Linked DNA regions of Canis lupus familiaris. The protein of the gene in region 1 purifies or fractionates together with the protein of each later gene. This does not show direct contact. Links are inferred from orthologs where the notes say so. Each region holds a gene or a part of one and is shown in the gene's direction. Other genes may lie near its edges.

The links.
Region 2: the proteins of HIPK2 (region 1) and DCAF7 purify together in Homo sapiens (affinity purification with western blotting; 3 studies listed by BioGRID and IntAct, with this or other methods). This does not show direct contact. The link is inferred for Canis lupus familiaris from reciprocal best matches to the Homo sapiens genes HIPK2 and DCAF7.

What each region holds. Positions count from the first base shown.
Region 1 is NC_049237.1:9,022,915-9,026,322, forward strand, and holds the end of HIPK2 (homeodomain-interacting protein kinase 2), read left to right. Parts: intron 1-873; coding exon 874-1,031; intron 1,032-2,196; coding exon 2,197-2,667; downstream 2,668-3,408.
Region 2 is NC_049230.1:15,339,873-15,343,689, reverse strand, and holds part of DCAF7 (DDB1- and CUL4-associated factor 7), read left to right. Parts: intron 1-1,016; coding exon 1,017-1,226; intron 1,227-2,815; coding exon 2,816-2,933; intron 2,934-3,817. UniProt on the Homo sapiens protein: Involved in craniofacial development. Acts upstream of the EDN1 pathway and is required for formation of the upper jaw equivalent, the palatoquadrate. The activity required for EDN1 pathway function differs between the first and second arches.

The sequences.
Region 1 (3,408 bases):
GCCATGGGGTTCTAATTTAGTGGGTGGGATGGGAGGACCCTCAAGTGCCAATGCACGGTCAGATTGGGGTCTCTGTTAGGACTCACTGCCTCCATCCCCAGTGGGGCAGCTCTCTCTTTCCTACAGCTGCTGCCTGTAGGGCAGGGAGGTTTCTCTTGGGCTTCAGTGTGCACCCCAATCTCCCATCCCCTCCCCAAGTTTCTGGTTTCCCAAACTTTTGCTCTTCATGTTTCTCTCCCTGAGCAATTAATCGGTGTTCTCTCTGACTGGCCCCAGCCATCTCCTCTTTGACTTTGATTTCATCATCCTGGGATTTGTAATGGAATTGATCCAACACAGTTACATCAAGGGCCTGCTCATTGTGATGTATGCCTCATTCATACTTAGCATCCTCTACCCCAGCCTTGCCCGTTTTACACTTGCAGCCATGGGTGATTTTTTTCCTCAGGACATGTGTGGTTCTTTTTCTGAGGCCCCATTATCCATACTCTGCTTATGTGTCACTGTGTCTCTGGATCGCAGCAGACAACCCCACTGCAGCTCTGGATGGGGCACGAAGAGCTACAGAGAGAGACCTTTCCTCCTTTCCTCCGTTAGCGCCTCCTTGTGCTTTTCAGTGTCACCAGACAGGAATTCTAAGTCCAACAAGCTGGGACTTGCTCCCAATCAGTGAGACAAGCCAAAGCCCAGTGGCCAGTCCAGAGTCAGAGCCGACTCTTAGCTGGATCTGGGGAGACGAGGCTAATTTGATTGGCTGGTCTTGGGAACACACTCCTTCCTAGGAGACCACTGTTGTTTCCCCTAGGGGCAGGGTCTTCTGGGCAGCAGGGGGACCTCTGAGCCATCTGTGACCCCTTATTCTTTCCCACACAGTCAACGCCAGTCAGCACTCGTCCTACAAGTCCAAGTCCTCCAGCAACGTGACCTCCACCAGCGGTCACTCTTCAGGGAGCTCGTCCGGAGCCATCGCCTACCGGCAGCAGCGGCCAGGACCGCATTTCCAGCAGCAGCAGCCTCTCAATCTCAGCCAGGTGAGTGCCGCCTGACCTGGCCTCAGCGGCCTGCAAACCACGCACATCACCGAGGCCCCTCCGTGCCTCCACTTCCCAGCGGGTGGCTGTAGGTGGGCCCACACCCACCCCGGCTCACAGGGCCGGGGACCTCTGAGTTCTTCCCACTGTGGGTAAAACACTGTGTCCTGGCCCCGTCAGACCAGGACACCAGCAGAGTACTGGCAGGCTGACAGAGTTGGGCTAGTGGGTCTTTGTGATGAGGGAGGCCAGGTCACACACGGGGAACCCCAAACCCAGGGCAAGCGAGGATTTGGAGCAGGTGGGTGGCCTTTCGGTAGAATTATAAATGAAGGCAGAGTCTCCTCGGTAGAGCTGGCCTGTGTGTAAAGGGTCTACGTCAGGTCCGAATTGCAGAGTGGACTCAGGGGCCTGTTTCCTCAGAAGCCATAGAGGGGACGTCAGTGGGGGAGCTTATGTTCAGAAACCCCTCGTCTGAAGTGGTGCACTTGGTAAACTGAGACCGCATCTCTGTGTCGTCACAACTCTGGTTCTCGGGAAGAGAGGGCTCTTTCATTTGTACCAATATAACTTCAAACAGCAAAGTGTCCAAGAGCCTAGGACTTTAGAGAACAAGATCTCACAGTGAGGGAGAAAGCAGTTGTCACTCAAAGAGTGGCTCCTCTGACACTTCATAGCTGCAGTAGGCCGTTTGGAGACATCCTGTTACCTCCTCAAACTGGCTTAATCTGTGTGTCATCCAGCTGGGGGCTCGGGACAGGGTTCCTTCTTCAGTCCAGGCTAATGTTGCTTTCCCAGCCTATAGGGGAGGCATCTTCCCTCACTCCTGTGGCTTCTGGCCTCCTCCTCTCCTCCCCTCCCCCTCCTCCCCCTCCTCCCCCCCCCTCCTCCCCCTCCTTCCCACTCCCCTGGCCCTCCTCCCCCCACCCCCAACCCCACCTTCCTCTCTTACCCCTTCTCACTTCTCTCTTTCCCTCCTCCCCCTCCTCCCTCCTACCCCTTACCCCCTCACTGTCCTCCCCCTCCTTACTTCTCTCTCTTCTCCTCCTCTCCCTCCTCCCTCACCCTTCTCCCTCCTTCCTCACCTCTCCTCTTCCTCCCTTTCCTCCCCTCCCACGTGTCTGGCCCCCAATGCAGCCCTCTCCTGGTGCTTCTCCTTCTCCAGGCTCAGCAGCACATCACCGCAGAGCGCGCCGGGAGCCACCGCCGGCAGCAGGCCTACATCACTCCCACGATGGCTCAGGCCCCGTACTCCTTCCCGCACAACAGCCCCAGCCACGGCACTGTGCACCCCCACCTGGCCGCCGCTGCTGCAGCAGCCCACCTCCCTGCCCAGCCCCACCTCTACACCTACACGGCGCCCGCGGCCTTGGGCTCCACCGGCACCGTGGCCCACCTGGTGGCCTCCCAAGGCTCAGCGCGTCACACCGTGCAGCACACTGCCTACCCGGCCAGCATCGTCCACCAGGTCCCCGTGAGCATGGGCCCCCGGGTCCTGCCCTCACCCACCATCCACCCGAGTCAGTATCCAGCCCAGTTTGCCCACCAGACCTACATCAGCGCCTCTCCAGCCTCCACCGTCTACACTGGATACCCACTGAGCCCCGCCAAGGTCAACCAGTACCCTTACATATAAACACTGGAAGGGGAGGGGAGGGGAGGGGAGGGAGGAGGGGCAGCAGGGAGGAGGGTGGAGGGGTGAGGTGGGAGCCGAGCTTTTTATACTGAAGACGCGGCACACAAACAATGCAATGGGGCAGGGTGGGCAGGGAGCAAGGGGCAGGGACGGACACCAAGAAAACTTGAACCAGGAGGTGGGGGGACCTTAGAGCAGAGAAGACATTTTAAAAAAGAAGGGATTGAGGAGGGGGAAATCTATGCTTTTTATTTTAAAAAAGAAAAAGGAAAAAAAAAGAAAACGTCGGTAAACAAAAAACACAGCTCACGAACCCATTCTGCACCAAACTGGAAAGGAGAAGAAGAGAGCGACAGAAGATTCCTGGAAGTTGGGGGGTGGGGCCCCAGTTTTTGAAGAACTTTATCTATGAACTTCTCAAAGATTATTTTCATATGGCGGCAAGTGACATTTAAGAATTTGCTGTCGGGGACACCTGATGTGGAAATCCAATAGATTTTTAATTATGGAACATATTAGGGATTTTTCCAGAACTCTAAAGGGTCAGCAGCCCTCTAGAAGGTCAGGCCGTGGCCTGAGGAGGCTGATATTTGGGGGTTGGTATGGGGTTGGCCAAACCCAGTTCTGGCTCACGTGTCAGGAGGGGAGTGGCCAGGCTGAAGGAAGCCCCTGCCAGCAGAGGGCACAGCTTCTCTTCCTGAGCACTCTGGAGAAATCCCTACAAAGCAATGTCACTCCTCC
Region 2 (3,817 bases), on another chromosome or scaffold:
CCATAGGAAGAGAAACATAACTTCATAGTCAGCCAGAGAAAAAGGAATTTATGAGGTTGAATAGAAATTAGTGCTCCTTGACAATGTCCCTTAGCAGGCAGAACTTCAAGAAGGCTAGAACGATGGTATTGAGTGAAGTGAGTGAAGCCACTCCTATCTCACCAGAAAGCAGCTGTTACTATCCTTGACCCCGGGAGATCCTTGGCTTTGGTTTTTCCGTTTTTCTCTTTCTCCACTCTGGTCTGGCTTTGTCTGATTCTCTTCATCCCTTTCTTTCTCTGAAGCTCTCTGCCTGTGTTGTCTCATAGATATTAGTGGTGTGGAATGTTTGCAGCAAGTAATAAATGCAAAAAACAATGATTCAAAACCTAAATTGATTCACTTATGAATACAGACCAACTAGGTGAAGAAATAGAACATGTCCTAGGGACAAGAGAGTGATACTAAACCTCTTTGTGAAGACAGGAACATCTGAGTCTCCCATGATTCAAAACTGCTATTGCTTCTTTCTTGAAAACGAGTCTCAGGTCTGGGTTTCACAGCAGAACCAGCTTGACTGCTATTAAGTGGCCACAGGAGGGCTGCTCCCGCCTCTCAAATTAGTGGCCTTAACTTGGTCACGGATCTGTCTCTGATCACTCACAAATGAAAGCCACAAAGGCCCAGGAAATGAATGTCTCAATTCTATAGTGTTGCAGAAGATACCCACTGGCTGACAGCATGCAGAATACTTGCTCTGACTTGTGCCCTGCTACTCAGCAGGATATATGCTCTTTGTCTTATCACAAGGGTTGGAGGCAAAAGGCTCAGAAAGCAGGAATGCAGGAAGAAGCCATCTCGTTTGTATAGCAAAATGATCTTCGTCCTTTGGAAAGTCACTGATGTTAGAGCTCTTAGGCGCCAGGACTCACAGATACTGTGAGGGGGTTTAGGTGGACTAGGGATAGTAGAGTTCCCTGCTCCAGGAAAGGAAGGTCACGGATCTGAACTGACAGAAGCTTCTTATTCACCAACAGGTCTATGATATTGCATTTAGTCGGGCTGGGGGTGGCAGGGACATGTTTGCCTCTGTGGGCGCTGATGGCTCGGTGCGGATGTTTGACCTCCGCCATCTAGAACACAGCACCATCATTTATGAAGACCCACAGCATCACCCACTGCTTCGCCTCTGCTGGAACAAGCAGGACCCTAACTACCTGGCCACTATGGCCATGGATGGAATGGAGGTGAGTACCCTGCTTCAGGCTGACATAGGCCTGGCCACCTAACTGTGGCATTACTTAGTATAGCTTAGTATAGAGTGGTTCTCCACTGGTGGCAGTTTTCTCTCTGGATTTTTGGAAATGTCTGGGGACATTGCCCTAATTTGTGGGCAGGGCGCAGTGCTACCGGTGTCTTGTGGGCAGATGCCAGGGGTACTGCTAAACATCCTGCAGTACATACAAGAATCATCCCTTCCCCACCCACCCCCCACCCCCCGCAAAGAATTATCAGACCTGGGGTGCCTAGGTGGCTCAGTCTGTTAAGCGTCTGTCTGCCTTTGGCTCAAGTCATGATCCCAGCCCCACATGGGGCTCCTTGTTCACTTGGGAGTCTGCTTCTCCTTCCCCCTGCTTGTGTGCTCTCTCTCTATCTCTCTCTATATCAAATAAATTAATAAAACCTTTAGAAAAGAATTATCAGACCCAAAATGTCAATAGTGCTAAGATTGAGAAAGCCTGATCTAAAACAAGGACTGTGTGTTAAGAACTTTTAATACTTGGAGCATTGGAGGTGGAGCCATGAAAATCAATGTCTAAAAAGTAAACCAAATCATTATGTGCTTACGGTGCTGAGTAAAGAAATAGGCAGTTTTCCCCTTCTCTAGTCTGGACAGATTGTTCCAACTTTAGCAAACAGACATAGAAATGACAACTCTTCATTGCCTGTTAACTTAATAGAAGCAGTGAAGTGTGGGTGGAGATGATGCAGTGATTAACTTTTGGTGAAGCTGGTACCTCAGACTTCTTACATTTCAGTTTCTACTTTGGGGGTTGTGGGGAGAGGCCTCTCACTCTGTCCAGCAAGCTCGCATGGAATCCATAGTACACGCACCCAATAGGACTTGGTGGATTATCCAAATTCATGTTACCTACTCCTGCTTCACTCCTTCCTTATCAGTCTGAAGGCCTTATGTTGCTTAACATATAGACTATATATATATTTTTAAAATTTTTATTTATTTATGATAGTCACACAGAGAGAGAGAGAGAGAGAGAGAGAGAGGCAGAGACATAGGCAGAGGGAGAAGTAGGCTCCATGCACCGGGAGCCCGACGTGGGATTCGATCCCGGGTCTCCAGGATCGCGCCCTGGGCCAAAGGCAGGCGCTAAACCGCTGCGCCACCCAGGGATCCCACATATAGACTATAAACTGCCTGTTTTTGTTTTCTTTTTCCTCAATCCTAAGACTGCTTTTGGGACCAAGACCCTCTGCCTCTAATGGTCTTTATTTTTTTTTTTTAATTTTTATTTATTTATGATAGTCACAGAGAGAGAGAGAGAGAGAGAGAGAGAGAGAGGCAGAGACACAGGCAGAGGGAGAAGCAGGCTCCATGCACCGGGAGCCCGATGTGGGATTCGATCCCGGGTCTCCAGGATCGCGCCCTGGGCCAAAGGCAGGCGCCAAACCGCTGCGCCACCCAGGGATCCCTCTAATGGTCTTTAAATCCACAAATGAATATGTTATACTTTAGGATCTTTTTTTCTTGTAATGTCTCGTTTGTTTTCCTGTTATACCCTGAGGTTCTTGGGCCTTTTACTTGTTATTTCTGCAGGTAGTGATTCTGGATGTCCGAGTTCCCTGCACACCTGTTGCCAGGTTGAACAACCACCGAGCGTGTGTCAATGGCATTGCTTGGGCCCCGCACTCGTCCTGCCACATCTGTACTGCAGGTAATCGGTGGCAGGGGTGGGGTGGGGGTGGGGAGGAGCCAGGGGGAGGACAGGGGTAGGAGATCTTCCTCTTGTCTCTTTAGAGCTATAATCGTTACTATTTACTAAGAGTGGTTTGAGAGATTTAACGAAGTAGCTCAGTTGAGAGCCTCCCTTCACCTGTGAAATTGAAGTAGTCCAAATTTCCAGATGATCTCATACCTCAGTGATTTCAGGGCTTTTGCCATATACTGTTGGCATCATGTATCAGTTAAAGGCTGTGCCTCCCTGAAATCTAGTTGGCACAGAGGACCCAGCTCCAGGACTGTGGAGGAGGGGGCAGTCACTCTTAGATGGAACAGAATCTTTGGGAATAGTCAAAGTTGACAGCCCCCTGGGGAGACTGGACATGGTGCAGTAGGCTCTGAGTTTGTTGAAGGCCCTGTGTGGCTTGATCAGTGCTGTGTGACTTGTCATCCCCACCTCACCATTTGAATACCAAAAAGAATACCCCTCAAAAATATGCTGGCTGTCAATGTGCTTGTATTCTAGGAATAATACAAATCTGTGATTAAACATTAAAATAATACTGAGGTATATAAAATAGGAAGGTGAAGGTCCTCTTCTCTCCTTCCTGTCCTATTTCCACCCCAGTCTCACTCTCCATAGGTATGTCTCCTTCAAGAACTTTCTATGTGGGCCTATGCCCACATATGCTCCCAGTACAAATGTCTGCCCCTTTATTTCACACAGACGGGATTCCGCTCTCACCCCAGAATATTCTCCTCATGTTTTCATTTTCACTGCCTCAGGTTTCTTTCTAACATACTTTTTCCCCTCCTCGCTAATCAGTAGCATCCTCATTTCCTTGTTCATGATGGAGCCAAAAGAGCAGAGTAGTTTGT